Linked DNA regions of Astyanax mexicanus. The protein of the gene in region 3 purifies or fractionates together with the protein of the main gene of each other region. This does not show direct contact. Links are inferred from orthologs where the notes say so. Each region holds a gene or a part of one and is shown on either strand. Other genes may lie near its edges.

Region 1 (7,440 bases), on a different chromosome or scaffold from region 3:
TTTGAAGGCAGCTGGAACATGGCTTCTGAAGATCACTTTAGGCAGAGATATTAACTGTAATAGCTCTGCAGGTCAGAGCAATCAGCAGCAGTACTTCTTATTTTGGCAATCTTCTGCACTTGGAAGACTGTATAAAAAGCAAGAATGATTTATGTTTAGTATTAGCTACTAAAAGATGTTTCTACAAACCAAATGTATATTTTCTGAAATATAAGCAAAACTTTTACCCCGTTCAATTATAAACAAAGTGCGTTAGAAAAAAGGTGTTTTAGAAACACATTAATAGTTCATCATGTTTAAAATTGCTAATGAAGGTGACCGGTTTTATGTGCCATCTGAAGAAAAAAACACCACGGGATATGATCAGGCTTTTTCGACTTATTTGATGTGATTTAAGATGTTTGTTTGGTAGGATTGTTTAAGATTGTTAAAAGTCTGTCTGTCACATTCCAGCAAAGAGTATGAAAGGCTTGGCTTTATTCAGTGCTGGTGCTTCGATCCCACTGAAAAATGACAATGTTGAAAAAACTGAATGCTGTTAGTGTGTTGTCTTAAATATACGAACGCTGCTATGTGATGTTTTCTACTTGAATATTTTATGTTGTAGAATCCTCAGGAGGCATGTTTACCATTTGTATTTTGTTTCAGTTTTGTTTAATTGTTTTAATATATGCCTTTTTTCCAGCCCATCCCCCAACTCTGAGTAACACTGCAAACTGCTCTCACTGATCAGTAGAGATTGATTGTTATGAGAGAGATGGTAGATTGAGTATCATTGTAAACACTCCATCTATCAGCTGAGAATCTGCAGCACTAAATCCATCAGGCATTGACTAATTTTCCACTATTTGCCAATGGAAAGTTTTACAGTTTATTGGGGGGGTAAAAAAGGAAATTAAAGAAAGAAACAGGCACACGTTAACAATAGGTGAGCACGTGTTGGAAGCTTTGTCCACTTTAACGTAAAGCAATTCAGAGCTGTTTTAGTGAAATAACAGGGTGGTAGAGAAACTGGCACAATAGTATGTGAATAGTAGCAACTTGTGCTAATGAAATTTAAGTGCAGTATTTACTGTGATGCCTTGCAATTAGACTTGATACCTGTGGGGGAATCTGTTCTGCTAGGAGACAGAGATTGCACAATATTAAATACTTACGATATTATTACTTTTTTTGTTTTTGTAAGTACTATTTAAAATGTGTCACTTTAGCACTGCACCAACTACTGTATTATGCTCTGTTAGGGGAGATAATAGTTAAGGAATAATGTAATAACCATGTAAATCCTTTTTGCTCATTAGCTCCCATTGCTCTTATATGAGAATTGTTTTTTTTTTTTAGTTTTTATTTCGTCTTTGGCAAGCTGCTCAATTTCAGAGATGGAAATATCGAAGGTAATAATTTTTTTGGGGGCCACCAAATATTTTGGATCATGCAAATAATCTATATTGTAGTAATTTTGTAATGACGTTTGTATGACCTTGTGATGGATGTGAGTTTGTATCACTGCTTGGATCTGTACATTGTTGAAAATAAACCGTTTTCATAAACTGTTCTTCTCGTTTCTGTTGCATTTGGCTTCTGGTTTCTGGTTAAAGTGGTAAGATCATTTGACTGCATTTCACACACATTTTACTTTAGTGATTAATATTAACCTGGCTAGTGTATTTTACTACTACAGAATTTTCACATGAGTAGTATGAAGTCTGAAATGAACTAAGGATGTTTTCAGGGTAGATAGAGAAAGAAAGAAAGCCTACTTTCAACATTGTGACCAACATAAATTCATCTTTAGTCTTCAGCTCTGGCAAAACACAAGATTGCTTAAAGTAGCTAAACCTGACAATTCTATTGTAAAAAGTTTTTTTTCCTTTTTAGCTCAGTACCAAATTTTTGTGTTAATGTAAGATCACGGTGGTAAATTTGCACTAGATTCATGTAATTGTATAATAGCCTTATAAATCATCACACAACAAAACCTAAATAACATTAAAGCATATAAATAGTTAAACAATGACAAATTAAGAAAATTCAAGTACATCAAAATGTGTGTATATGTATGTGTATATTATTATTATTTTTTGTATTGAGCTGTAAATAATTGTAAGAATATGGTTTGGATAAATCTAAAATCCATGGGGAACTAGATGACTAGACAAATGCACTAACAAAAATATAACTATAACAGTGAAATGTGTTTTAGCCAGTTGCACAAGGACTCCTAACACCTCTAACACACTAACTACTTCTAACCTCATTTCCTTCTTCCCCTCCTTCACTCCTCTATCCCCTTATTTCCCTTTGACCTCCTTTAGGCCCTGTCTAAAGATGTTTTTACCTTTAACTTCTATTACTTTTGTACTTCACTATTGTAAGTGGCTTTGGACAAAAGCGTCTGCCAAAATGTAATGTAGTGATTCAATAATTGCTCCATACTGTTCTGGAACTGGTTCCAGAGTATTGGTGCTTTTCAGCAAACCAGTCCACATTTGCACCGGTTTTACTAAAACTGATGAGAAGTCACAGAATCGTCAAAAAAAAGGAGCTGCACAACAGCTCTCAGTTTGTGGTGAAGAACCCACTGTAACCTAGTTTAGTTTACTTCCAGTTGGAAACTTTTAAGTTTCCAGAACCCATTTCTGTTGATGGAAATGCACCAAACGCTTCATTCCTGGGGGAGAACCAGCATAAAAAAGGACATGATTTTGTTGTTAAGATGTTGCGTTATCCTTATATTTGTGACATTTAATGGACTTAAAATGCCAATATTATTTTTTAAAAGGTAATAAGTGCTTTGTTTTTTTGCCATTATATTATCTATATTATATGTTCTTAAAATGACAATAATATTTATCGAAACGATTTCTTTGACGATATATTGTTTACTGTGACAGGCCTAACTATGATTAATTGAAATGGTTTTCTTTAAAAGGAAATAATGGCATAACAAAGCAATAAGGGTGGGCGATATTGCCCTAAAATATCACGATATATCATGATATTTTTGTGATAACGATACTCTTGGCAATATGCCAACACACTGAATTAAGAATACACTCATGCAACTAAATGAATTCAATTTTATTACTGCATATGACATGATATGGCACACCCCAACTGAGATATAAAAAAATATAAACAGAATGTCATGATACTAATAATGTACTCCAGATATTTCCATATATCCAGGACTGAAGTGAAATGGATGATACTGGACAGATATAATCTGTCTCTAGTATATATATAATAGGACATGAGAACAGTGTGAATTTTTATTTTGCTAAAAACAGCAAAAAGGGGTACCCTGATGTGATAATTAGGGGTGGGTGATATTATATTTTAGGGTATAATATCATTCACGATATATTTAAAATGTTGGCAATAGTAATGCGCACAATACGATATAGAACACCCCTACAAAGCAGTTATATCATCTATACTATACAGTTCTGGAAAAAAAAAATAAGAGACCACTTAAAAATGATGAGTTTCTTTGACTTTACCAAATTGAAAACCTCAGGAATATAAATCAAGAGGAAGATGATCACAAAACATCAAACCAAGCTGAACTGCTTGAATTTCTGCACCAGGAGAGGCATAAAGTTATCCAAAAGCAGTGTGTAAGACTGATGGAGGGGAACATGCCAAGATGCATGAAAACTTTGATTAAAAACCAGGGTTATTCCCCCAAATTATTTCTGGACGCTAAAAACTTTATGAATATGCATTTTTGCATTATTTGAGGTCTGAAAGCTCTGCATCTTTTTTGTTATTTCAGTCATTTCTCATTTTCTGCAAATAAATGCTCTAAATGACAATATTTTTATTTGGAATTTGGGAGAAATGTTGTCTGTAGTTTATAGAATAAAACAACAATGTTTATTTTACTCAAACATAAACCTATCAATAGCAAAATCAGAGAAACTGATTCAGAAACTGAAGTGGTCTCTTAATTTTTTCCAGAGCTGTATGGTCTTAAAATGACTATAAAATTGCTTATTGCAATGATTTCTTCTACGATATATCATACACAAAACAATTGTTATCGTGACAGGCCTAACTATGATTCCAGTATTAAATGGGTTTCTTTAAAAGGAAATAAAGGCGTAATAAAACAATATCATCTGTATTATATGGTCTTAAAATGACAATATTGCATATCACAATTATTTATTTGATGATATATTGTTTATAAAAAAATGTGACAGGAATAACTATGATTAATTAAATTTGTTTTCTTTAAATATGCTCTTTAAAAGATATTGACGATAATATTGTTTATCACAAAAATCAATTCGCCATATTGATATATCGTCCACAAAATATTGTGATCGTGGCAGACCTAATCACACAGGCTGTGGTGTTGTTCCTCAGTCTGGCCGCTGGTGTCGCTGTTTCTCCTGCAGTAATGCACTACAGTACAGCACCCGGCGAGCGCTGTGTGCTGCTGACTGAGGCCGCGGCCGGACTCGGGAGAGCAGCAGACAAGTGCCGGCGGTGCAGAAGGAGGAGGAGGAGTCTTGGAATCAGAGGGGGAAACGAGCAGACACGAAAGAGGGAGGAAAAAAAGAGAAAAATCCGCAGACAAAACAAAACCGTGAGAAGGACGGCGGACTGAGCGCGTCTGATATCACAGAAACCTAATTAAAAGTACGAGGGAAGATTGGCAGTGGAGAGAAGGGAGGACACCAAGATGATAGCGCCTTATTTCCTGGAGAGTTTCTGGGTAAGTGAGCGTGTTTTTATTATGATTCGCTTTATTATTATGTTTGCTGTGTGTTGGTTCGCCGGCTCCAAACACAGCTGGCTTAGCTTAGTTAGCCGGAGCTAGTTGTAGAAAGAGAGAGGCCGGCACTGTGTGTGTTTGGAGGCTAGTCAGTTAACCTAAGTAGCAACCCGGTGTGTGGGCGCTTTACTGCAGAAAGCTTACCGGGGAAGCCTGCTCGGGGAGGGGGACAGCGCGGTGAAGCCGCTGCCCCGCTCCCCCTGCTGCTCATCCGGCCAGTGGCAGCTCCGCCAGGCCGGGGATTGGGCCGCCTCGGAGAACCAACGACCAACACCAGTAACCAACTACAATCCACCACCGCGTCTTCTGATTGGCTGTCGGCCTATGTCCTGGAATGTTAATGACGCTGTTCTGAACGCTGATTGGCTGTTGCAGTTGTCAATCGCGTGTTGTCAGTTTTTTTGCCCATTTTCTTCCGTGGTGAAGTTTGAGTGAGAGGCCAGCACTGGCTGTAATGTTAACCTAGCCAGACTGGAGCAGCTAATTAAACTGTGATTTATGCTGGACATAGTTAGTTTTCAGTAATTCCAGTCCACACACATACACTGCAGCTTCTTAGGTTTATAAAAATGCTCTTTTACAGGCCAAATATGTGACAGTGGAACTGTAGTAGTTGCTCTGACTGGGGGCGTTGCAGTCAGTCAGATAGATAGATATTAACCAGTCTTACCAGCACCATGAAGTAGCTATAACTAACTAACGTCCAGATGTTTATAACCAGCAAGCTAGTGTTAGGTTAGTTAACCTACTATTGTGAGCTACACATATATAAGTACATATTGTCACTGCCTGATAAAAGCTTTATATCTCCACGTTTAGCTGATATTTTGTACACAGTAAACAGAACAGTTACACTTCACTATGAAAGTCTATCTTTGCTAGCTTGCCGTCCACTAACACACAAGCTTATTAGAAAAGTAAATACTGAAATAAGTTAACCCAACCTATCCTTACGTTTCTGTGGACAAAGATCGTTGCATAAGTGCACTGTGTGCATTAATTATATAATTACCTAGAAAGGCACCGTTGTGGGAATTCTGGGCTGATTTAATGTAAGGTTAACCTAGCTAATTAGCTTTAGCTTAGCTAATTAAACTTTGCTTTGTTTTGGACACTAATACTGTACCTTCTTAGGTTTATATAAATGCAGTTTAACAGAAACAATATATGACCGTAGAAGTGTAGTAGTAGCTCTGACTGGAGAAGTTCCTGTGAGATACGCACAGATGTTTATAGCCAACAAGCTAGCGTCAGGTTAGTTAACCTAATGTTGTGGCTCACACACGTTAGTACATATGGTCACTGCCTTGCTAAAACCTTATATCTCCACGTTTAGCTGATATTTTCACTTGTGAACCTGGTAGCTAGTTGGTCTTTACATACCCAGTGTTTATTGTCCTGTGCACATAAAAAACAGGATTGTTATACTTCACTATGAAATTCTAACTTTGCTAACTTGTCGCCTACTAACACACAGGTGACTGAGACTGACTTAAGTTAGGTCTGACAGAAATATGTAGTTTCATTAGCTAACCTGTTAACCTAACATTGCTGTGGGCAAATAACATTGTCATAACTAGAGATGCACTGTTGTGGGATTTTTGGGCTGATATGATGTTAACGTTAGTTAACATTATCTTAGCTAATTAACTGTGAATTCTGTTGGACAGAACAGGTTTCAGTAATTCTAGTTCACAGACCAACACTGTACCTTCTTAGGTTTATAAAAATGCTGTCTTACAAACCAAATATGTGACAGTAGAAGTGTAGTAGATAGCTAGCTCTTGGCTGTGGACATTCCTCTTAGATATTACTAGACTTCATCACCCTGAAGCAACATCCAGATGTTAATAGACAGCTAACATAGCTAGGATATATAACTACATAACCTAGGTTAGTTAATCTACTGTTGTTGCCCACATGTGTTAGTACATGCCACTGCCCAGGAAAAGCTTATATCTCAAGACTATGAAAGTCTTACTTTGTTAGTTGTCCACTAGCACACAAGCTACAAGTAACAAAACTAACATAAATTAAAGACTATAGACAATATTAAACTATTTTAGATATATAATTGAAACAAAAGATTTAAGTTAAAGAACAATAGACATGTACAAGTTGCAAACAACCAGGAATCCTAATTAGCCATCAGAAGAACATATTCATAAAATACACTGTACAATAATGACATAACCCAGGTTAACAGATAATTCTGCCAGGTTTCAGCTACCTCAGCTGATATCTAGATGTATATAGCTTTGTACTGTTGTTTGTATTAGTAGCTAGCTAAATATCATCGCTGTCCTGCATCACACTTCATCTCCATGTTTCACAACCTGGTAGTTGTTCTTTATATTCCGTCAATATAAATGCTGAGCCGGTGTTTGTTGCAAAGGTGTTTGCTAAGGTGTTCCCTTGGTATAGTTCTTGGTTAATCAATTTAGTTTTTTTGGGGAGCCGAACCTGAGAGTTATCGGGATACAGACTGGAAAGGCTGCCAGTCCAGTTCTGTCCACATGCATTTGGTTAATTAGTTGAGTCTAAGAACTGTTGGATAAAAGGTGGGATGTTTATACGTTTGGCTAATACAGCTGTGTCCACAAACTTTTGGCTAAAATGTGGGATGGTTTGTCCAAGAGCTCCTCCTTCAATGA
Region 2 (7,441 bases), on a different chromosome or scaffold from region 3:
AAGTTGTGTAACATTTTTAAAACGTCCATTAATTTTGTTGTGGAAAAAGATGAATAACATTGGGGCCATTTTCAACAAAATCATGTAACATTTTTAGAACATTCTATTAATGTTATTGTGGAAATGTTTTCTGCTAACATTGGGGCAGCAAAATTGTGTAACATTTGTAAAATGTTTCATTAACATCACTGTGGAAATGTTTCTTCTAACATTGGGGCAACTTTGAACAAAAAAACTCCCAACATTGGGGGAACTTTGAACAAAGTTGTGTAACGTTTTTATAACATTTCTTTAACGTTACCATGGAAACGTTAAGCTGTCCATGCTTTTCTACAGTCGCTGGTTTGGACCTCGGTATCGGTATCGACCCACATGTTGCTTTAATGGTGAATCAGCTTTATCAGTTCTGATAGAACCTCTCCGGTTCTGATTCTGTTTTTTTGCTTCATGTTTATGGATTTATGGATTATTTTGGATGTATTTTAAACCTGCATGGCTTTTTTCCCCTCACGTCTCCATTGGCTCCCACTAATGCATGCCCCGCCCACTTTCTGTCCGTACCCATAAAATAATAATCTGATCTCCTCCTGCCTGCGTTCCTCTTCTGTTGCTGCAGAGCTGGAGATGGATGGTGATTGGACGAATCTCGGACTGAGCTGTTGCGATTGGTCGGTTTGAAGAGCAATATTTGCAAATCCAGGACTTTACTGTTGTTTGGAAAAAAAAAACAATTGCTGTTAATTTTGTTCTTGTAATAAAAGCTGTTTTTCTGATCTGTGTCTCAGTTTTTTTTAATTCATGATGTCTTGTAGACAGCATCCTGTGGGTGGGGTCCTGTAGGCAATGTCCTCTGGCCGGCATCCTGTGGGCAACATCTTCTGAGCGTTGTCCTGTGGGTAGCATTCTGTGTCTGATGTCCTGTGGGTAGTGTCCTGTGGGTAGCGTCCTCTGGGCAGCATCCTGTGGCCAGTGTCCTGTGGGTGGTATCCTGCGGGTAGCGTCCTCTGGGCAGTGTCCTGTGAGTAGTGTCCAGTAGGCAGCATCCTGTGAGTAATAACCTGTGGGCGGTGACCTGTAGGCAGCATTCTGTGGGTATCGGGTATCGTCCTGTAGGCAGTGTCTTGTAGGCAGTATCCTGTGGGTAGCATCCTGTAGGCAGAATCTTGTGGGTAGTGTCCTATGGGCTATGTCCTGTAGGCAGCATCCTGTTGGCAGCATCCTATGGCTAGCGTCTTCTGGGCAGTGTCCTGTGTCCTGTAGGCAGCGTCCAATGGGCAGCATCCTCTGGGCGGTGTCCTGTGGCCGGTGTCCTGTAGGCAGTGTCGTGTGGCAATTGACATGGCAACATGTAATCTTTCACTCCACACCTATTATTCATCATAAAAGACATTTATTAGCCAGTCAAACAGCAGATTAGCCCCGCCCACTGCACTGAAAAAATTAAAATCCGCAAACTGAAGTAAAGCATTGGGTTTGTTCAGGTTTTTGCCTGTGTGAAAACAAACCAAACTGAGGGGAAACCGCTCAAAGTTAATGAACTCATCAACTGATTCAGACCAGATAAACCAAATACAGGTGTGAAAAAACTGCTATAAATATAACACTGATCACTTTAGCTCGATTTTAGATATAAAGAATATTCCCACCCACTGCGACTAAATTACCCACCAACAAAGAAACTGAGCTCTGGTCTGATTGTGTGCAAACAGTGCAAATATACACAACATACAGAGCTTTTAAACACAGTCCTGTAACACTGTGTGTGTGTGTGTGTGTATTAGTCACAGGCACTTAAATCCCTGTTAAAAATCTGTGAGAAAGAGTCGTAGAGTGGGTTTCTGCAGTTCTGTGTTTATTTAGGAGGATTGTTTATGAACCTGCTTAGATTTAAGGCGTAATTAACCATAAGTATCTTTGGTCAGGAAACCCAACATTAAATATATGTTGGAGAAATCTATATTCTGGATATGGCTGTCATTATAAAACACACAAATTTTACATTATTAAAATTATTGTATGTAAGGTCTAATATGCAGTGTAATAAAATGTAGTGTGTATTAAATACAGTATAATGTAATGTAATATATGTTATATATAAAGCAGCAGTGTGTAGGGTAGTTAGTCTGAGGCGATGTAGAAACTCTGCACTACAGACTGAAGCTGAAGAGGTGGAACAGTGTGTGAATTATTTATCTCAGTAAACTGAACCGCTCTCCATTCCTACAGCACAAACTCAGCACCACACCTTATAATACTGCAATGTTACACTATAACAATCAAATGTTTGGACATATCTTCTCATCCAATTATTTTATTCTTTTTTTTATTGATATACAATAAATGTATCAAAACACTGCATCACATGGCTATTTAGATAATAAACAAATCTAATATATTAATTTTACACATTAATTATACAGAAAAAAAAATCAACAAACAATGGATCATATATCTATAAATATCAATATGAATCATACATTATCTATCATACATACTAATGTATATACCATATATTTTACGGTAAATTTCTGAATTGTGCATGCAGTATACTATGTAGTATTACTTTATACCACTAATACATTTACTTTAACATGAAGAAAAAGAACCATATGGCAAATAACATAGTAAAAAAAAAATAAATAAATAAAAAAACATTTATTAGATAGTATAATAGCAGTGCACAGTACTGGGTTGGGGTGGAGAGAGTTAAATTACTATAATATGGTACCATATGGTAACTTTACTGAATTTTGTTTTGCATACATTATACGTCTATAATTAGTATATATTACTAATACATTCAATGTAACATAAAAACTGCATCATATAGCATATAATATATAATATATAATCTTCAAAAATGATTGTGTCAGGCATATATATGGGAAGTGGAAAGTGTATTATTGGTGTATTGTTTGGAATTTTTCTGGGTAAGCTTTATGTAGCTTGGCATATATATATATATATATACGTATATTATTATTTTAGGTTTTACATTAAAAAGAAAACAAACCCTGAAACACTACATCATATGGCCACCATAATTAATATGAAACTGCATCATAAGGAAATAAATATAAATATTAACACTGTTTCTACTAATTATTTGTAATGTTTTATAGGAAACACAGAACATCAACTTTACAGGAGAAAGATAAAACCTTAATTTTTAATGGAAGTCAATGTAAAAATACTTTATTTCAGGCCATGTTAAAGCATTTCTATTGGTTTGTTCATCTAGAAATTTCGGCACAGTGTAAGGGACAGTTTGTCTGTTCAAATTATGTATTAAACAAAAAATCGACAAAAATGAAAATGCTTGTTTTTCATTGGACAGCGACTATATATAATTTGTACAGTATATATTAAATATTATAATAGCAGTGCACAGTACTGGGTGAAAGTGGAGAATGTAATTATTAGTATAATATGGTACCATATGGTAACTTTACTGAGTTTTGTTTTGCAAACATTATACTGTATATAATTAGTATATACTACTAATACATTCAATGTAACATGAAAACTATATTATATTATATAGCACATAATATATAATATATAATCTTCTAAACTCATTTTTTCAGGCATATATATGGAAAGTGGAAAGTGTATTATTGGTGTATTGTTTGGAATTTTTCTGGGTAAGCTTTATAGAGCCAAACAATATTAATACTGTTTTCTACTATTTTTTTTGTCCGTTGTTTTAGGAAACACAAAAGATCAACTTTACAGGAGAGAGAAAAATCCTTCTTAACTTATAATGGAAGTCAATGTAAAAAGAGTTTATTTCAGGTCACAAAAAAAAAATGGACAAAAATAAAGAGATGCTTGTTTTTCATTGGACAGCGACTATATATAGTATATATTAATGTAATATATGTATAGTATATATTAAATATTATAATAGCAGTGCACAGTACTGGGTGGGAGTGGAGAGTGAAATTATTACTATAATATGGTACCATATGGTAACTTAAGTGAATTTTGTTTTCCATGCACTATAGTGTATATTATTAGTATATACTACTAATACATTCAATTTTACATTAAAAACCCTAACTAATACTGAATTATATAGTAACTAATGTGGTAAATAATTAATGTAATATATTTATATATATATAATATGGGTGTAATATGATCAGTGCTGGGTGTGATAGAGTGAGTGAGAGTGAGAGAGTGGGCAGTAGGAAGTGTGAATCATATGAATTGGGAGTGAACCAGGCCGGACTCACAGCAGCAGCAGCAGCAGCTTCACTCTTCTAAGGTAAGCTGATTTAACTCGGGCTTATTTATCTCGGGCCGCTTTCTGCCTCTTTAATTCAGATCCCGCATCTATATTTAAACTGTTTCCACCGCGCGGGTCGGGCGGGGTCCGAGCGCTGCCGGATTAAAGGCTTAAGAGCCCGGTGAGCGCTGCGCTCAGCTCGGCTCAGGCAGAAGGTCAAGCCGCTAGCCTGCGCGGTAGCATCCGCTAGCATTCAGTAGCATTCACTAGCCTGTTTACGTTGACTTCCATTCATCTGTTAGCTTGGTTAGCTAGCGTTAGCTTCGGCTACCATTCATTTGACTGCTTTAAAACCGGGCTAACTAGCGCATTAGCTAACTGTGCTAACTAACGAAATCTGCTGGGAAAAAATGGAGTGGGCGAGTCAATTATGCGTGAGTTTATTATTATTTTAAATATTAATATATAATATTAGCACTTGGTATTATCTTTAGTCGTGTTCTTTTTGTTGTTGCTAATATTATTTGTGTGTGTTTTTTATTAATATGTGTGTATGTTGGGTTTCGTTAGCTTAGCATAGACTATCTTAGCATAGCCTAGCTTAGCTTAGCATAGTTTGACGACTTATCTAGCCTGTTTACACAGTTTTTAATGCTTTTTATCAGTTAAATTGTAAAACAGTATAAATAACAGTGCTGTAAATGTTACAGAAATGTGGATAAATGCACAAATAGAAGCTTGTCAATGTTGGAAAGTAATTCATTTAACGATATTTAGGCAGTTTAGCCAGTTTAGCTTGTTTGTGTTTAGCCTGGCTGTAGTAAACATATAACGTTAGTTAATAAAAACAATAATAGTAATAATAATTAAGAATATGAGTTATTTAAGTTGTTACAGTTGTTTATTTAGCTTATACATTTATTTTAGCAGTTGTTTAAGAAATATGGATTATACAGAGTGATCTGGAGAATATAAAACTGAATCTAATTCTTGAAGTGACGTGTCTGTTTATGTAGTTTACTAAGGTTCAGTTCAGTTATGTGAAGAAGTTTGGGCACCCTGATATATAATTTTCATGATTGTCTTTTATAAATCATTTATAAATAATGAAGAATGCTCCAAAATACCTTCAGCCAGAAGCCAGACTCTTTTTGGAAGCTATAGGAAGAGTTTAAAAGCTGTTAATACTGATAAAAAGCAGGATCTTCTAAATATTAATGTAATCTTTCGGTTGGGGCCCAAATTTATACTCCTGTCTAATTTAGTTTAAGGAATTATTGCACAATTTCTGTAAATCCTATAAACTTCATTTCACTTCTCAGTTGTGTGTCAGTATGTTTGTCTACTATACAGGTGCTGGTCAACGAATTAGAATAATTTGAAATAGTGCAATCATGAAATTCTTTGAATGCATTTTTTGTGCAGAAAGCAAATCAGGTGTTCACCGCACCTGTCCTACTCATTAGACTAATCACAGAACTCGTTACCTGGAAAAAAATTTGCTCAGCTGAGCTTTCCAAAAGGCCCATTTAGGCCATTTAACTGTGACACTGTTGTTTTATTGAATTAGAATAATGGAGAAACCGTTTCATTGAATTAGAATAATTTTTATTATAATTACAATCATCACTTTCTCAGTATTTTGTGGCTGCCCCCTTGGCTTGTATGACTGCCTGAAGTCTCCGCGGCATCGATTTGACCAGCTGGTCGCAAGTTTCCGCACTCACAGCTTCCCAGGCAGTGGCGATGTTCTGCTTCAGTTGGTCCAGCGTAGTAGGCTTTCTGTCGCAAATTTTCCGCTTGACGATGGCCCAAAGGTTTTCAATGACATTGAGGTCAGGCGAGTTGGCCGGCCATGCCAAAACTTCAAGCTGTTTTTTAGTGAACCAATCTTTGGTCGACTTTGCCGCATGAGCCGGTGCAAGATCCTGTTGAAATATGAAGTCTTCTTCGCCGAACTGTTCCTCAACAGTCGGAATCAGGAACGTTTCCAGAACATCTTGATATACGGCAGCATTGACAGTCTTCTTGAGGAAGCAGAGTTTCCCTACACCTCGAGCGGACATGCATCCCCAGACCATAACACTCTGGGGAAACTTGACGGATCTTTTCACGCACTCGTGGTTGTAGGTTTCGCCACCACAACGCCAGACACGAGGACCTTGGTCACCGAAGGAGATGCAGAAGCGTGATTCGTCACTGAAGACCACTTTCTGCCAGTCTTCAGCAGTCCACTCGCCGTGTTCTTTGGCCCACTTCAGCCGTTTCTCCATTTGTTTCTTGTTCAGCATCGGTTTTACTGCTGGAACGCGAGATTTGAAGCCGAGTTCGCGCAGACGACGGTAAGTGGTTGATCTGGAGACGTCAGCGCCGGTCTGCTTGTTCCACAAGTCGGTGAGCTCGGAAGTGGACTTGAACCGGTTGCTGACTGCGATCTTTCTCAGCTGCTTGTTGTCGCGAGCAGAAGTTTTTCGGACGCCGGAACAGTTGGTGCGCTTGCTGCAGTTTTTCTTGAGAGCTTTGCAGACGGAAGACTGGCTGATGCCGAGCTGCTCAGCAATTTTAGTTTGGGTCAAGCCTTGTTGGCGAAGGGCTTGAATTTGAGCCACTATTCCGGTTGAGAGGTCGCGCTGCTTACCCATGATTGATTTTACAACTTAGAAATTCTACTTAACCCTGACTTTATACTGCACAGTGAACACTCTTCACAGAAAACAAAAATTTGAGCATTTATTCTAATTCAATGAAACGGTTTCTCCATTATTCTAATTCAATAAAACAACAGTGTCACAGTTAAATGGCCTAAATGGGCCTTTTGGAAAGCTCAGCTGAGCAAATTTTTTTCCAGGTAACGAGTTCTGTGATTAGTCTAACGAGTAGGACAGGTGCGGTGAACACCTGATTTGCTTTCTGCACAAAAAATGCATTCAAAGAATTTCATGATTGCACTATTTCAAATTATTCTAATTCGTTGACCAGCACCTGTATGATATATTTAACTGAAATTGTTGATCTCAACAACCAATGATTTATAAAAGGAAAATCATGAAAATTATCAGGGGTGCCCTAAACTATTTTATTCCACTGTAGGAGTGAGCTGACTCTTAGTTTAAACATGTTCACTCTAGGTGTTAAAATGGAGTAATCTGGAAAATATATATGGCTGTTTATTTAAGACATTTAATTTCAGTTGATGAAAAAAATTAAGTG
Region 3 (7,797 bases):
GTATAACTTCACACTAGACCTCGAGCAGTTTGGACTGTGTGTCTCTCCACTCTTCCTCCAGACTCTGCTCTCTTGATCTATAAATGAAATGTGAAATGTACTGATGATCAGTGATGGTTTGGAGAGCCATGTCTGTCATCTGCTGGTGTTGATCCACTGTGTTTTATTATCAAGTCTAAAGTCAGTGCAGTTTTGTTTTCCCACAAAATCTTACAGCGCTTCATATCTTACAGATTCCATCTGCCGATAACAACTTTTATAGAGATGCGGATTTCGTTTTCCAGCAGGACTTGGCACACTGCCAAAAGTACCAATTGGTCTTATATAATATTTTAATTTTCTGAGACACTGAGTCATAATCATCAACAATAAAATAAATAATCAATAAAAATAAATCACTCTGTGTGTTATACATCTACATAATTTATGACTTTCACTCATATATTGTTTTATCATCATCATTGCAATATGCCCATGTGCAATAGTCAAATCCCAGGATGTTCGATTTCAAAGATCAAATAAAATGAAAAGGGTCAGGCTTTTTTTTTTTTTTTGCTTGTTTAGTATGAAAGGAATATTCTCACTTGTGAGAGTGTACTATGATTATGACATGACATAATGGATCATGGACCTCTGAAGAAAACTAGTAAAATGTCTGTATTCTGTATATCTAACATTATATAACATATGTAACATATATATATATATATATATATATATATATATATATATATATATATATATATATATATCACAATACAACAAAATATTGTGATATGCAGCTCTAGGTTCTTATCAAAATGATCCTGTTTTGAGAGCATTTAAGCCTTTAAATTGTTAAAAAAGCAGTCTCCCCCTCACATCCACTTTTTTACTATATGCACAAATACACACTAAATTAAACAACACTGTTTATGCTGTTGGAGTCTGATACTCTTTTAATTTAGTGAGTTAATGCTGAAGTTGAGGTACTAGACTAGAAACTAGACTAACTGGACGTGTTAATCCATTGTTGTGCTTCAGGGCTACCACAAAATGTCATATTTCCAATAAAATAAAATTAGACCTTTTGTGTAATAACAGACATAAAAATATTATTATTTACTGTCTATCTCCATTTGTGAGTTATTATTGTTGGGCTCTAGTTTACCAAAAAAATCTTATGGGATGCTAGATAATGTATGCACTGAAGGAGCACCAAATAGCTTATTGGTTTTTAGAGATTTTGAGGTAAAAAGTGGCTTTTTAAGGGAGCACTATATGATTTCTGCCAGTAGATGTTGCACTAGAGCACAAGCATCTTAGCTCAAAAATATGCATCTGTGGAAGTTTAAACATTGCTTTTTCATGCATTTGTGACCTAAAATATATATTATGGTGAAGTCCATATTTCAGTGTTCCGCACTGGCAGGTTCCTGTGTGAACTATAAACTCTGTTACAGTACATTCACATTCATTACCACATTCTAAAATATGCACACATACAGGTATTTACACCCTGCAGGTATTTACAGGTGTGTGTATGCAGAAGGATTAAGCGATAAAGAATGGTCATTTCTTATAGACTATACAAGGATCAAGCTTTTTCTCCATTATCCCAAACCTGGGATGGGCTGGGGTTATTTCTAGATACACACAGACATATTAGTTGAACCATAGTTAGGATACTGTACAATAAAGCAATACATTGTTATAAAAGTTTAGTCTACGTTAAAGTGGCAGTCCGTATTATTTTGTTTCTAAACTGAAAGCAGAAGCATTTCTGAGTGGAGAAGTATAGGGATAAAATATTTTGTATTTTATCCCTATATCCCTGCTAAGCCATATTCATATATTAATTCTAAAAACTGGGGTGTTGGGTCGCTTTTCGCGTGAGTTCTTCTTTTGGCCACGTTACACGTCTTTACATACTTACGTCACACGTACAGCCTCTAAAAGAGGATCCGGCTCAGTTTTACTGAACGCAAGCGGCTGGTGGAGCATTGAAGACTTCAGAAGAGGAAACTCAGAGCTCAGTAGATCAAAACTTACAGACATCAGCTTTAATTGGAAATAGTACAAAATTCATCAGTGCATATTTTAGCTTGCAGGTTATACATTTGTGTTCAAAAAGAATGGCAGATGGCATCTTTTTCATTATTTTAAACATTTTCCTATATTATATATATAGTTTACTTTTTTTTATTATTTTTTTCTTAAATCAAATTTGTATTATTTTTCTATCCAGTATCCTACATCTTTTTTTTAGAGATGAAAAACTTTTAAGTGACAAAAACTGTATCATTTTGTTGAATTGAGATCATCCTGTATTTAGAAATATGCTTAGGTATAATTTATGTATGTATGTATATATATATGTATATATATGTATGTATATGTATATATATATATATATATATATATATATATATATATATATATATATATATATATATATATATATATATATATATATATATATATATATATATATACAGCTATGGAAAACAATTAAGAGACCAAATCAATTCTCTGAAATAGGTATATGTAACAAAAAGATGAGTTTTCAGACCTTAAAAAATGCAAAGAAAGCAAACTTATGTGGCGGCCCCTAACTAGGGGTTACCAGACTACGCCACCCCTTAAATTACTTATTTTATTTAGAGTAAGGGGAACTCTCAAATAAGACACAAGAACTTGACTGTAGTACAAAATACAATGATTTATTTAAAACCGTACCAAAGTCAAATCTACTGTCAGTTTCATTTATTGGGTGAGAGGAAATATATATATAAAAATTTAAGAAAATCACAATTTACCCATGACCACTGGGTCCAGGGTATGGAGAAATATGAAGTCAATCCAATAGGACCAAAAGAACACACGTGAATAAAGTTTACTTAATCACTGCACAGCAAACTTAAAAATAAAATAAACTAAGTACAAAAAAAAAAGAATCACACTTCTAGTGAACAGGACTTAGCCGAATATGGTTGACTCCAAACCCCCAGTCCCAGTAACAATTATAGCCACAGCTAAAATTGACTAATTGTACCATGTGGTTACCACTAGGCTAGAGTCTATACAGAGCACATCATTAAAAACCACAATACTTAAAAATACCTGAGCAGTTAATACACTTAGTGCTACAAAATTTATGGTAGAATAAAAAAATAAAAAAAAGAAATACAAAAAAAGAGCAGAAAACAGCAACTGGCAACCACTGGAACTGTGGCTCTCTATGCAAATACACAAAACACACATTAATACATTCATCACATAAAAACAGTGCAACTTGCATTCAATTACCAGAAGAGACATACCACTTAACTCAAGGTGGAATGCTAACTTCGCCCATGGACAGGGTAGCAGCTTTAAACCTCTATTAGAAATAGATCACACAAAAGCAATTGAAACATGATATAAAACCCATTTTGCATTCTGTTCAGAACATAGAGACATATCTTACCTAAAGTCCCCAAGTGACCATTCTAGAAATGGTACTAGTGTTAAATGTAGTAGTAGCAGTTAAATATAATAGCAGCAACCAAAGCTAAAACACTCAAACTATTACAAGACAGCACATGGAGCTAAAGCAGCTCAAAAGCATAGTGTCTCTAATAATGTACAATTAGAATGCAGCAGACACTTGCCTACTATTACAGAGCATATGGAGACATACATCTTACCTAGAGCCCCCAGATAACTATTCGAAAGAGTACTAGTGTTAACTATAGTGGTAGCAGTTAAATATAGTGGTAGCAACCAAAGCTAAAATAATCAAACTATTACAGAACTTTAAAAAGTGCAATAGTTTAAGCCTACCTGATCAAAAATACCTTCAAAGTTAGTCAGGATAAGTAGGAATTAACAAGCAGCTTAGCCAAGAGCTAACAAACAAACAGAGTGTAAAAAAAAGTTAGTCAGAATAAGTAGTGATTAACAAGCAGCTTAGCCAAGAGTTAACAAACAAACAGTGTAACTTAACCCCAGCATATCATATAATTAGCCAGCCTACCTCTTATATCACGTCGCCAGGCACAAACACAGACTGTTGCTATTTATAGCCACTCACAGTCGCTCAGCCTCGGGCACTCCTGTTCTCACTGAGTAATTCACTAGCTCAGAGAATCGTCTCCAGCCCACGCTGCTACTCGCGTTAGCTTAGCCACACAGTGCTACCTTCAATAGGACCCCCTATAGGTGCGTATATAAGTGCCTGCAGGACCACACTGACTCGCTAATGCTGGCGCCCTAGTTAATGACGTAACTCGTTCACGCCCCCTGCACCTGCACGCATACACACACACACACACACACACACCCACAATAGCTGGCTACACTTATATTAAGAAAGTTTTTTAAGAGTTCAGAAATCAATATTTGGTGGAATAACCGTAGTTTTTAATCACAGTTTTCATGCATCTTGGCATTATGTTCTTCTCCACCAGTCTTACACACTGCTTTTGGATAACTTTATGCCACTCCTGGTGCAAAAATTCAATCAGTTTATTTTAGCTTGATGGCTTGTGCTCATCCATCTTCTTCTTAATTATATTCCAGAGGTTTTTCATTTGGTAAAATCAGAGAAACTCATAATTTTTCCCAGAGATACATGTAAAATAAAATCTTAGAAAGTAACGTAAGATCACTAAACAGTTTTCAGAATGTAAATACAGCAGCCTTCTCCTAAAACCTGAAATCCATGTCAGGTTTTTGCTCCGCCGTCTGTGTGCGCGCTAGACTGAGGTCATATTGCAGCAGTCCGTTCCTTTATGGAGTAAATCCGGTACCGGGGTTTCCAGCCTCCCTATATTGCCCCATTGCCTATCGCAGCGCAGGGTGATGGACTAGTGGGAACAGAAACATTATGGCTGCCAGTCTCTCCCTGACTCAGGTAATAAATACTGATTCTGCGCGTTAATACAGCTTTATCTCCAACAGCTTTAGCCGCTAATCCTCAGCCTGGTGTCCAGCTGTCCGGGCTAGGCGGGTTTTGAGGTTAAACTCTGCCGGGTTTTTGTTTTCTCTGGTTGTTTGTGCAGACAGTGCTTTGGAAAAAGTTTCTAGCTAACAGGCTAATGCTAACTAGCAGGCTGATCTGAGCTGTGGGCTGCGGGAAGGGCGTAGTTAGTGTCAGTTTATAAATGGGTGGGTTACCAGCTTTTATCGCCTTGTTTTCTCTCTAAACTCACTTGGATGATAGCGAAGAACGTTTAATAAACGTTCAGTGCTCGGTTGTACTACAGATTTTGTGTTGAGAATGGATAAACAACTGTTAAACAACCTTTATTTAACGTTAGCTAATCTAGGAAGCTAACAGGCTCTCATAGACATCAGTATCTAATTTACAGCTCTGGAAAAAAGTAAGAGATCACTTCAAAATCTTTAATTATACCAAAATAAAAAACTCTGGAATATATTCAAGAGGAAGACGGATGATCACAAGCCATTAAACCAATCTGAACCGCTTGAATTTTTGCACCAGGAGTAAATGCATAAAGTTACCCAAAATCAGTGTGTAAGACTGGTGGAGGAGAACATGATGCCAAGATGCATGAAAAAACAGGGTTATTCCACCAAATATTGAGTTCTGATCTTTGAACTTTATGAAAGTGGACGTTTTCTTTGCATTATTTGAGGTCTGAAAGCTCTGCATCTTTTTGTAATTTCAGCCATTTCTCATTTTCTGCAAAAAATGCTCCAAATGACAATATTGTTATTTGGAATTTGGGATGAAGGTTGTCAGTAGTTTATAGAATAAAACAACAATGTTTATTTTACTCAAACATATACCTTTAAATAGCAAAACTGAAAAAGAAACTGAAGTGGTCTCTGAATACAACCAATATATAGCTAGCTCCGTATATTTAACCATATAAGTGCCCAGACCCATTTTTTAAATATTGAAACCAATTTCAATTCAATAAGAAGCTAATTTATATGTGTTTGTTACTGTGGGCCATGTCTGTAAATTTAAAATATAATAATAATGTTAAACATACATGACAACAGCATTGAATGTTTGAATACTTAAATGCAAATAACAGTAAATACACTTAAATAAAAAGCTGGTGTAGTTTTATCTCCAGCACTAACCCTAAACCTCTCCTACATTCTGTAATAAATACAAATACATTAAAGCATCCTGTAGTGATTATGTGTAGGTTATGTGTCACAAAGTTGTTAAAGTAAAGAAAAACAGACACAGCTTTTAAAGGATCTGTGACACACATACGTCACCATGGCTTCTTTTGAGACAAGTATCTGCAATAGAGACACTTCCCTTTTTCATGCTTCAATAATTTTTTTCTCTGAAACGTTTTAAATGTGTAGTTGGCTATCTACCTTGCTAATGAACTAGTAAATGCTATTCTACAAAGCTTGGTATATCTTATGTGGGATACAGAACACTGCAATTAGCCACCATGGAACGCTATAAATAATATATTATAACTAATATGCTATAAATATAGTAACTATACGAGTCATATCCTAGCATGAAGCTATAGGTATCAGTATTCTTGCTATTGAAAATCTTGCTTTATTATAGGAAGAGTATTAGTGTATATCTCTACTTTCAACTGGCTAAAGAACTTCAAGAGTTTTTAAAGGGTCTGTGACACATACATCACAATGGGTTTGTTTGATTTAAGTGCCTGCAATAGAATGCTATAGATACGTTCCTGTTTTTATGCTTTCCTATTTGTATGTGTGCGTTTTAGCTATGTTTTCAAATGTGCAGCTGGCTTGCAAACTAGCTACTAAACTAGGCAATTTTGTTCTTTTAAGCTTATTGTATCATATTTGGGATACAGAACACTGCATTTACCATGGAACACTATAAATATGGCTAATAAATATATTTTACATAGAATAGCCATATCCTTGCTTATATCTATAGATGTCAGTACCCTGACATTGGAAATCTGGCTTTAGTATAGGAAGGATATTGGTGCATACAATGCCTATTTTCAATTGAATTTTCTAGTTTAATATTATTAGAATATTACAGTAATAAATTCACATAAATCTATCATAAATTTGCATTTTTTTCGCATATTTAAGAACAACTCGAGCAGGACATCACTTTTTCCTTCTTATTTGGTTTGACTAAGTTTAACCACTTCATGCTCAATCAGACTTAGAAACAGCAATATTCACAACTTTACACATTTATTCATATTAAATTCTGGCTGCTCTGCTTGAATACTGCTTAAATACTTTGATATAAAAAATCTGTTGATATTAAAAATAAGTATAGGAAGGGTATCAGTGCATATTCCTATTTTTAACTCACATTGTTTGATATATGAAGTATGAGAGACATAAAACATTGTGTGTGATTTAGTGAAGCTGTTTCATATTTCATAAGAATATGAGAGTAATAAATACACACATGTATCATAAATGAACAGTTTATTGCATACTTAAGAACAACTCAAGCAGGACATCAGTTTTCTTTTCTACTGTGTTTAACCAATTCATGCCCAGTCAGACTTCAAAACAGCACAATTTACAACTTCAACACATTTAATCATATTAAATTATGTCTGCTCTGCGTGAATAATGCTTAAATGTAAAAAAAATCATTTTTTATCCTTATAAAAGCAGCAGAAGCAGCTGCTCCAGCAATGCTTGTTTACTTGAGTTAGCTTAGCTAAGCTAACGCTAGCTTAGCTTAGCTAGCTTAGCTTATGTAGCTTTAGCGTTTTTGCTGAAGTGTATATATAACTTTTAAAACTATATAATGATTTTTCAGCAAAGGGGAGAAGTCAGCGTTTAGTCAAGTCGTGCCCTCGTGTTTTATGTCGCTTA
Region 4 (7,672 bases), on a different chromosome or scaffold from region 3:
TGACGTACATGTATATGCATCGATAGCAGAAGACATAGCCTGAAGTAGCCAGGGCCGTGTCATTGCTGCGCAACTTCCTGCACAGTGGGCAGACTTTATTGTTTGTGTGAGAGTCCTGGTCCTCCAGATGAAGTGGGGGTGGAGGTGTAGGGTGGGATGTGAGCGACTTTATGTTGCTCTGGTTCTCTGAGGAGTACCACCACTCCAGAAACTGCAGGAAAAACACACCCAGAGAGAGACTAGTGGAGAGAGATACTGCCACGCCTCCAACCATTGTGGACAATACACGATGCAGCTTCTCTCCAATGCTGTTGAGGGAAAAACAATTCGCAATTACATTGCATTATTCACCAGAGAATTTTTCACTTAATTCTACTGAAATACACTAAATATATATAGGATTTTATCAGAGTTTTATCTTGACCAAATTAGTCAGTTATAACATTAATAAATAATAATGCTCACCTCTGACTGGGGCTCAGTGCGGGGCCTGTTGGTTTGAGATCCAAGCTGCGAATGTCATGAGCTGTGAGGTAAGACAATTTAACTCCAGCCAGCCACAACAGGGGTGAGTGTGTCCGTGTTTTTCCAAAAACGTAAAACAGCTGATGGAAAAATGTCCAGCCATCCCATGCCATGCACACGTAAGGGTAGACAGCCAGAAAGGCCCTGTACATCTTCTGAGTAAAGGACTGTGGCAGCCGTATGGAGAAGTCATCCTCTTCCTTCTGGCGGGCCAGGACCTTCTCCAGCTTGGTCCGCAGGTATGGTAGGAGGGCAAGGAGGAGCAAGGAGCGCAGGTGCTGCCTACGGCTGAGGCCTTGGTAGGCTGCTCGAGTGCTGTCTCCACCTACCCGTTTCAGGCCGTAGAAGTTTTCAGAAAATGATGCACTGGTGCGTGACAGGAAATGGTGCTGCAGCAGGAGGTCCAGGACAGCGTAGATCTCGTCAAACTTCCTCCAGAGAATTCCATATCGATCAGGATTGGATTCAGCCAAGATCTAAGTATACATAATGACAAATAACCACAGAAGGAACAACACAAATAGGTTATGACACTACTGATGGTTATGACACTACTGATACTAAAGTATCATTTTTCGAAAAGGCAAGAAGTGGTAAGAATTATTTTATGGAACAATTTTATTTTACAACTGTGTTAAAATACCTTTGTATTTATGTCCTCTGCGGGATTCAGTATGTCAGTTTGTTTTATAAATGTATAATACAATATAATATTATATTACTTTACATAATGTTGCTTGCATGTTTTTATTCTGAGCAAGCAAAAGTATTATTAGTATTAGTATTATCTTAGTACTGGTATTAAGGATGCACTGATCTGATATTAATATAAGTTTTGTGTGCGAAGTGCGGAGATAGCGGTGAGACCCAGATGGTTGGACGTCAGCAGGAGGGAGCCATTATTGACAGACTGATCTGCATATTATCAGGTGTCTGCATACCAAAGTACTCAGACACATCATCCACGCCTATAGCACAGTTGAACTTGAGAGGGCACTGCAGAGGCAGAAATTACCATAATAAAAGCAGTACTGGTTAGTTTCATTTAGGGCTGGGGCGACGCATCGACATAATCGACGTCATCGATTACAAAAATACATCGATTTGCATAACGTGCGTCGGCGCGTCGTAAACATGGCGGCGCCTGTGGAGAGCATTAGAGGTTAGATCGGGCCCAAAAATTCCAACTGGCTGTTTTCGGGCTGTTTTAATGAGCGAAATATGATCAGAATTATGTTAATTAACACGGTAACATAGAAGCATAGAACTATTATTTAATTAAAATGATTTTTAAGAACAGCTAAACACAGTTCTGCAAGTCAAACGCGGAGGAGTTCACGTGCGAGAGAGAGAGAGAGAGAGAGAGATTTGCTTGTTCTACTCACAGGTGAAGGTTCTCTTTGATCTCCTCGTGCTCATATTCTAGTCCCATTCATAATTCTGCAGCTCCCTCAGTGTTTTCTGCCGTATTTTGCGGCTAGCGCGAGCGCTTACAACTGACACCGCGGACCGCGAGGTGCCGCCGCGTTTGTGCCGAATCCGACTCTCTGCTGAATCTGACTCCCGCTTCGCGGACAGAATCGGCACAACACCCCCGCTGTAGAACTGCGGTAGTGAAAACAGCGCTTATAAATAAATTAGTTTAGTTTCACTTTCAGTTTTCGTTATTTTTTTTTAAATAAAAATATAATTAAAAAACAGACGCCTACATCTCGGACTATTTTCTGGAGCCCGGGTCGGATTTACGGGCGGGCCTCGGGTCATGTCGGGTTCGGGCAGAGAATCTAAGCTCTAGGGAGCTTGGACTCCGGAGAGCAATCTCCAGCTACAAAAAAACGCCAGCGGGCATCTAAAGTTTGGGAGCATTTCACGCAAAAGGGCAACAATGTGGTCCTCTGCCATACGTGCAAAAGGAGCACTTGAAGCGCAAACATCCAGGAGCACTATGTCAACAGGGTCACACAGTAAGTTACCGTTTACATCAGGGTCTCCGCGGGTGTCCTTAAAAAGACTTAAGGCTGTCTACCAAAGGTTTTAAACCTGCCACAGGCAGAAATTATACATTTTTGGTTTATATTTGTGCATGGCATTTCGCAGTTTCCAGAAACAGTAGCATTATTCATAAGTTCAGGTGTTTAGCTAAGCTAGCTGCCTTAAGTTATTTTAGCTAGCGCCGTCGGCGCTGCGGTGTCACACCGTTTTCTGTCACCGTCGGAATTTTGTGACCAGTGCTCACGGTTATGAGCGTTCATTGGCAAAACGGAAGCTTTCTATACCTACACCTTACCCTCAGCCCTAAACTGAACCGTTTTGGCCAGTCGGGGTAAACATTAGAAACGAACACGTTTCGAATCGGCCAGTGCACCGGTCTGCTGAGAACTACTTGCCAGTGGTCACAAAATCTAGCGGTCACAGAAAACAGTGCAACACACGGTTGTGGTGTATGGGAGCTTATCCATTTTTAGCGTTATAGATCTAAACAACGTGCTGTACATGTAAGTGATTATAAGTGTGGGGTTTGGTTTAGTAGGCTTGTGTTGTTGTTGTTGTTGTTGTTATTATATATAAATATAGTAATTTATCGTTTGCTTTAAAACGTAAAATAATTATTTAAATATGTTTCTCAATGAATAGATTAGTCGACTAATCGAAAAAAATAATCGTTAGAATAATCGTTTAAAAAATAATCGTTAGGGACAGCCCTAGTTTCATTACTTTAAAGTAACATATATTAATAGAAACAATATGGTTTAGAGGCTCTTTAATATTGAATTTAAAAGCTGTACCGAGGCCCAATATGTTAAACTATATTTGATTTTGCAAGGTTAGTAAATGTTTAAGTCAATTAAGAAAGTCTCTCGACTAATGATATCAGATCGGTATGGGGTATCAACTTTTAAGTTAACTTCTGCCTCAGTATTGGAAGTGAAAAAGTGAAAAAAGTAATAAAAAAAAAATCACTGCATCCAATACAAAGCTATAACTACAGTACCAGGCATATTTGGACAAACCTTTCACCTCATAAAATGTTTTTCTTTATTTAATTGTAGATTAATAACAAACACATAAAAACAATTAAGGCACATATATGGAATTGGAGCTTAGTGCAAAGGAAAAACAGCAACTACTATTTAGCACCTTCAGGAACTCCTTTAAGACGCTAAGAAAACTATACCAGGTGACTCTACCTCATAAAGACACTGAAAAATACCAATTGTGCAGATCTGTCCTTAAAGCTAAACATGGAGGAATCTAAAATATGAAACATATTCTGGTCTGTTTAACAATCATATTCATGTACAGCTTTAATGATTTCAATATTAAATTTATAATGTAAAAATTGATTTGTATAATATTGCAATATTTTGAGATTAAATATTTAAGAAAAACAGTATTGAATACAAAACAATAAATCAACCTGTTATGGTTGTGATGATAATCGTTATTGTACATAATAATATGGATTTGTGGTGTAACCAGAGGGATAGTTTGAAACTAACTAGTAGTTATTAAGGACTTAGTAGAGACTTTACACACAAACTTAAGAAGGAACTTACGCAAAAGTGGTGCAATGTTCTCTAACTATAATTATGCTTTCATACTATGAGAGTTAAAATTGTTGATGTCGATGTTATATACGGAATTGTTTATAGTATCACAATCTATTGCTATATACCGAATCGTAACCCCTTCAAGTATCGTATCGCCAGGATCACAACACGCAGTCCTCAGTATTCAGTTGTTTTGCGGGCTTACCTTCACGGCGTGCTGCAGTGCGGGTTTGACAGCACCCATCAACGAGTCCTGAGCTAAAACCTCAAAAATACTCGGCCTGTCTTCCACTGCTGCTGCTGCTGCTGTGGTCAGATGTGCTCCTCTCTCCGCCATTCTGAGCGAGTTTACAGATAGATAACCTACTTAAACTTCAAAATTAGACTGTAAATCAGAGAATACTTCAGTTAGGAAGCGAACAGCGGTGTCTATAACCCACTCTGCGCTCAAAACAACCAGAACCGGGCGCCATAGTGGCCAAAGTACAGTGTAAACACTGTTTAACGCATGCCATTCTCTGCACCTCGGCGGTGCAACAACATGGCTGTTCCGTGTTTTTCCAAGAGCTCCCAACTTTCCGTTCCGGCCGCTCCATCTTCTTCCCCCCTCCGTCTACAGCTGTGGCAGTGAAAGCGGCCAGCAGCAGCAGCGGTTCACTCCAGCTCCGTTTACACCCGGATACCCTTTAAAATCCTCTCCGCTCCTGTTTCCGAGGTAGGGGCTTTTATTGTTGCTGTTTTGGACAGTCTGTTTATTTGCTGGCGAGGCGAGTTAAAAGGCCGATTTAACGAATGTCGTTCATTTTTCGTAGATGATAGCTAGCGATAGGTTAGCTTAGCAAGCTACCTAGCTAGTTAGCCTAGCCCAGATAACCTAACGTTAAACGGTCACACCCAGGGGTAATTGCTATGGGAGCCTCAAATATCGAGCTTAAATACATTATTTACACTGAATATACTGTGTTTTCTGTCTATGGGTAAATAAATAAACAGTGTTCTGTCTGAGAATGGAGCTGAACGGATATGAACGGATTCCTGGCCGGCCTGCTGTGTTTCGGATGTTCATTCTGATTAGATAAAGTTATTAAGACATATTAGACGTTTCTTTCATTTGTTTTCCAGCAGAATAAGCTTTATACTGAACATATATCTCTTTTTAAATTCACCATGACTATATTAACCTTCCTACCTGGCTAACATTACACCCATAGCCAAATATATAGTAAACTACTTATATATTTTCTTAATTTATTTAAGGGTTTTTTTTTTAAGAAACTTATTTACAAATCCTTTGGATTAATGATAATTATTGAAGAGTTTACATATCATTACACCATCAAATTTTTTTAATGCATAGATATACACGCATAACTATACACACATATATTCTTACAGGTCTGGAACATAAATAAGAGACCACTTAAAAATTATGTGTTTCTTTGATTCTACCAAATTGAAAACCTCTGAATTATAATCAAGAGGAAGATGAATAGTCACAAGACATCAAACCAAACTGAACTGCTTAAATTTTTGCACCAGGAGTGGCATAAAGTTATCCAAAATCAGTGTGTAAGACTGGTGGAGGAGAACATGCCAAGATGCATGAAAACTGTGATTAAAATCCAGCGTAATTCCACCAGATATTTATTTCTGAACTCTTAAAAATATGTAAATGAGCTTGTTCTCCTTGCATTATTTGAGGTCTAAGAGGTCTGCGTCTTTTTTGGTATTTTAGCCATTTCTCATTTTCTGCAAATAAATGACAATATTTACATTTGGAATTTAGGAGAAATGTTGTTTGTAGTTTATAGAATAAAACAACAAAGCTCGTTTAAATCGTACAACACATACAACTACTACAATATTAGAGCTTATGTCCTTTGTAAGTGTTAAATAAGTTACAGGGTTTGAAAGAGATTTCAGTAAATGTCCTATAAAACATATACAATAGGGTAGGTAGCGAGATAATTTGGCTATGGGTGTAACCTTAGCTAGATTTATGTTAAATCTATCATTCTTTTTTGCCAAACGGCTATTTTTTTGCATTATAAAAAAAAAACTTTCACAACATAAATTGAGACTCCTATTTGTGGTTACATATTTATTTGTATTATTTTAATGTGTGCTTTTCTCTGAAGTGAACTTGAACACCAATCAAAATGACAGACTCAAAGTATTTCACTACAAACAAAAAAGGTAAGGTTTTAACTTTGATTGACATTTATTTTTTCTCATTAATAAATCTGAATTAAACCTCACTCACACCTGGCATGGTAGTTTTATCTGGTCAGTGCTTTATGTTTTATTAACCTTACCCTACAATTATTATTTTCTATAGGAGAGATATTTGAACTGAAAGCTGAGTTAAACAATGAGAAGAAGGAGAAGAGGAAGGAAGCGGTGAAAAAAGTCATCGCTGCCATGACCGTGGGCAAGGATGTCAGGTATGATGGGTTTATTGGACACTGTTATTTAAATGCAGGGCAAGGATCATTTTCAGGGCAATAATGTCACGTGTTCTGTGAGCTATTTGCTTTATATGTTTTTTAATTGTTTGGGCCACAGACATCGCAGTTGTAATTTATTTATAATGATTCTGTAAGGAGAACGAAATTAATTTCTTTTTTTTCTTGGGGATTATTTGTTAGAAAAATGTTTAAATGAATCCCACACTGTGTAGGCTGTAATTTAGCTTAGCTTTAGCTCATTTTCATTTTGACTTATTATTTTGCACTGCAGTTGATGCTTTATTATTATTATTATTATTATTATTATCATTCCTTATTCTGTGACTATTAAACACTCTAGTCAATAATCAAGTAAAAGTGTTTCAAAGTGCTAGCATGTTTTTTTTTTTTGTTTTTTTTTTTCATTTGACTGTTTAAGTTTGTCTCTTTATTTAAAATAGATTATGAGGAGATTTGTATATTGCTGATGGTGGTGATCTTGATTTAAATCTATCCTGCCTCGTTCTTTCCTCTCTGTAGCTCTTTGTTCCCGGATGTGGTGAACTGCATGCAGACTGATAACTTGGAGCTGAAGAAACTGGTCTATCTATACCTGATGAACTATGCCAAGAGTCAGCCTGATATGGCCATTATGGCTGTCAACAGTTTTGTAAAGGCAAGTTTTTCTCTTGATATTAAAGAAGAGATGCTTAAAATGTGCTTATGCTATTTGCAACTTAACTCTCAATAGGTATTGCTTTAAACCACTTGCTTTAAACATTATAAACACATAGAGCATGTAGCTTTTCCTTTATCTTTCAAAATGATAGTGGCATTCTTCTTTAGAAATAACCCTAGGTTAAACATGTTCTGTGAGATTTAATGTCATAAATATTCCACTGTATTCTGTTGGTTTGGAGAAAGCTTGGAGAAACTTTTGGAAGCATTTAGGCTACATTTACATCACTAAACTGAAGTAGTCCAGCTCTGTTTTTATAAGCTGTAGATGAGAGCTGTTTTATTGCAAATTTGTTTCTCTAAAGCCTATTAAATATATAAGTGGTCAATATTGCAATTATTGTTTTAGGATCTGTATGGTCATCATGATTCACAGTGTAAAATTCTGAGTATGTCATTGTTTAATTCAGG

Evidence for each region.
Region 1: the proteins of eps15 (region 3) and fcho2 purify together in Homo sapiens (affinity purification with mass spectrometry; 3 studies listed by BioGRID and IntAct, with this or other methods). This does not show direct contact. The link is inferred for Astyanax mexicanus from reciprocal best matches to the Homo sapiens genes EPS15 and FCHO2.
Region 2: the proteins of eps15 (region 3) and ap1b1 purify together in Homo sapiens (affinity purification with mass spectrometry; 3 studies listed by BioGRID and IntAct, with this or other methods). This does not show direct contact. The link is inferred for Astyanax mexicanus from reciprocal best matches to the Homo sapiens genes EPS15 and AP1B1.
Region 4: the proteins of eps15 (region 3) and ap2b1 purify together in Homo sapiens (affinity purification with mass spectrometry; 3 studies listed by BioGRID and IntAct, with this or other methods). This does not show direct contact. The link is inferred for Astyanax mexicanus from reciprocal best matches to the Homo sapiens genes EPS15 and AP2B1.

What each region holds. Positions count from the first base shown.
Region 1 is NC_064408.1:22,662,803-22,670,242, forward strand, and holds the start of fcho2 (F-BAR domain only protein 2), read left to right. Parts: upstream 1-4,439; 5' UTR 4,440-4,693; coding exon 4,694-4,726; intron 4,727-7,440. UniProt on the Homo sapiens protein: Functions in an early step of clathrin-mediated endocytosis. Has both a membrane binding/bending activity and the ability to recruit proteins essential to the formation of functional clathrin-coated pits.
Region 2 is NC_064429.1:35,995,331-36,002,771, reverse strand, and holds the start of ap1b1 (AP-1 complex subunit beta-1), read left to right. Parts: upstream 1-4,423; 5' UTR 4,424-4,641; coding exon 4,642-4,665; intron 4,666-7,441. UniProt on the Homo sapiens protein: Subunit of clathrin-associated adaptor protein complex 1 that plays a role in protein sorting in the late-Golgi/trans-Golgi network (TGN) and/or endosomes.
Region 3 is NC_064419.1:46,970,628-46,978,424, reverse strand, and holds the start of eps15 (epidermal growth factor receptor substrate 15), read left to right. Parts: upstream 1-4,780; 5' UTR 4,781-4,849; coding exon 4,850-4,876; intron 4,877-7,797. UniProt on the Homo sapiens protein: Involved in cell growth regulation. May be involved in the regulation of mitogenic signals and control of cell proliferation. Involved in the internalization of ligand-inducible receptors of the receptor tyrosine kinase (RTK) type, in particular EGFR.
Region 4 is NC_064408.1:29,619,933-29,627,604, forward strand, and holds the start of ap2b1 (AP-2 complex subunit beta), read left to right. Parts: upstream 1-4,664; 5' UTR 4,665-4,791; intron 4,792-6,214; 5' UTR 6,215-6,235; coding exon 6,236-6,272; intron 6,273-6,414; coding exon 6,415-6,520; intron 6,521-7,063; coding exon 7,064-7,199; intron 7,200-7,672. Other genes in the region: pex12 (peroxisome assembly protein 12), read right to left, coding at 1-308, 466-1,001, 4,282-4,413. UniProt on the Homo sapiens protein: Component of the adaptor protein complex 2 (AP-2). Adaptor protein complexes function in protein transport via transport vesicles in different membrane traffic pathways.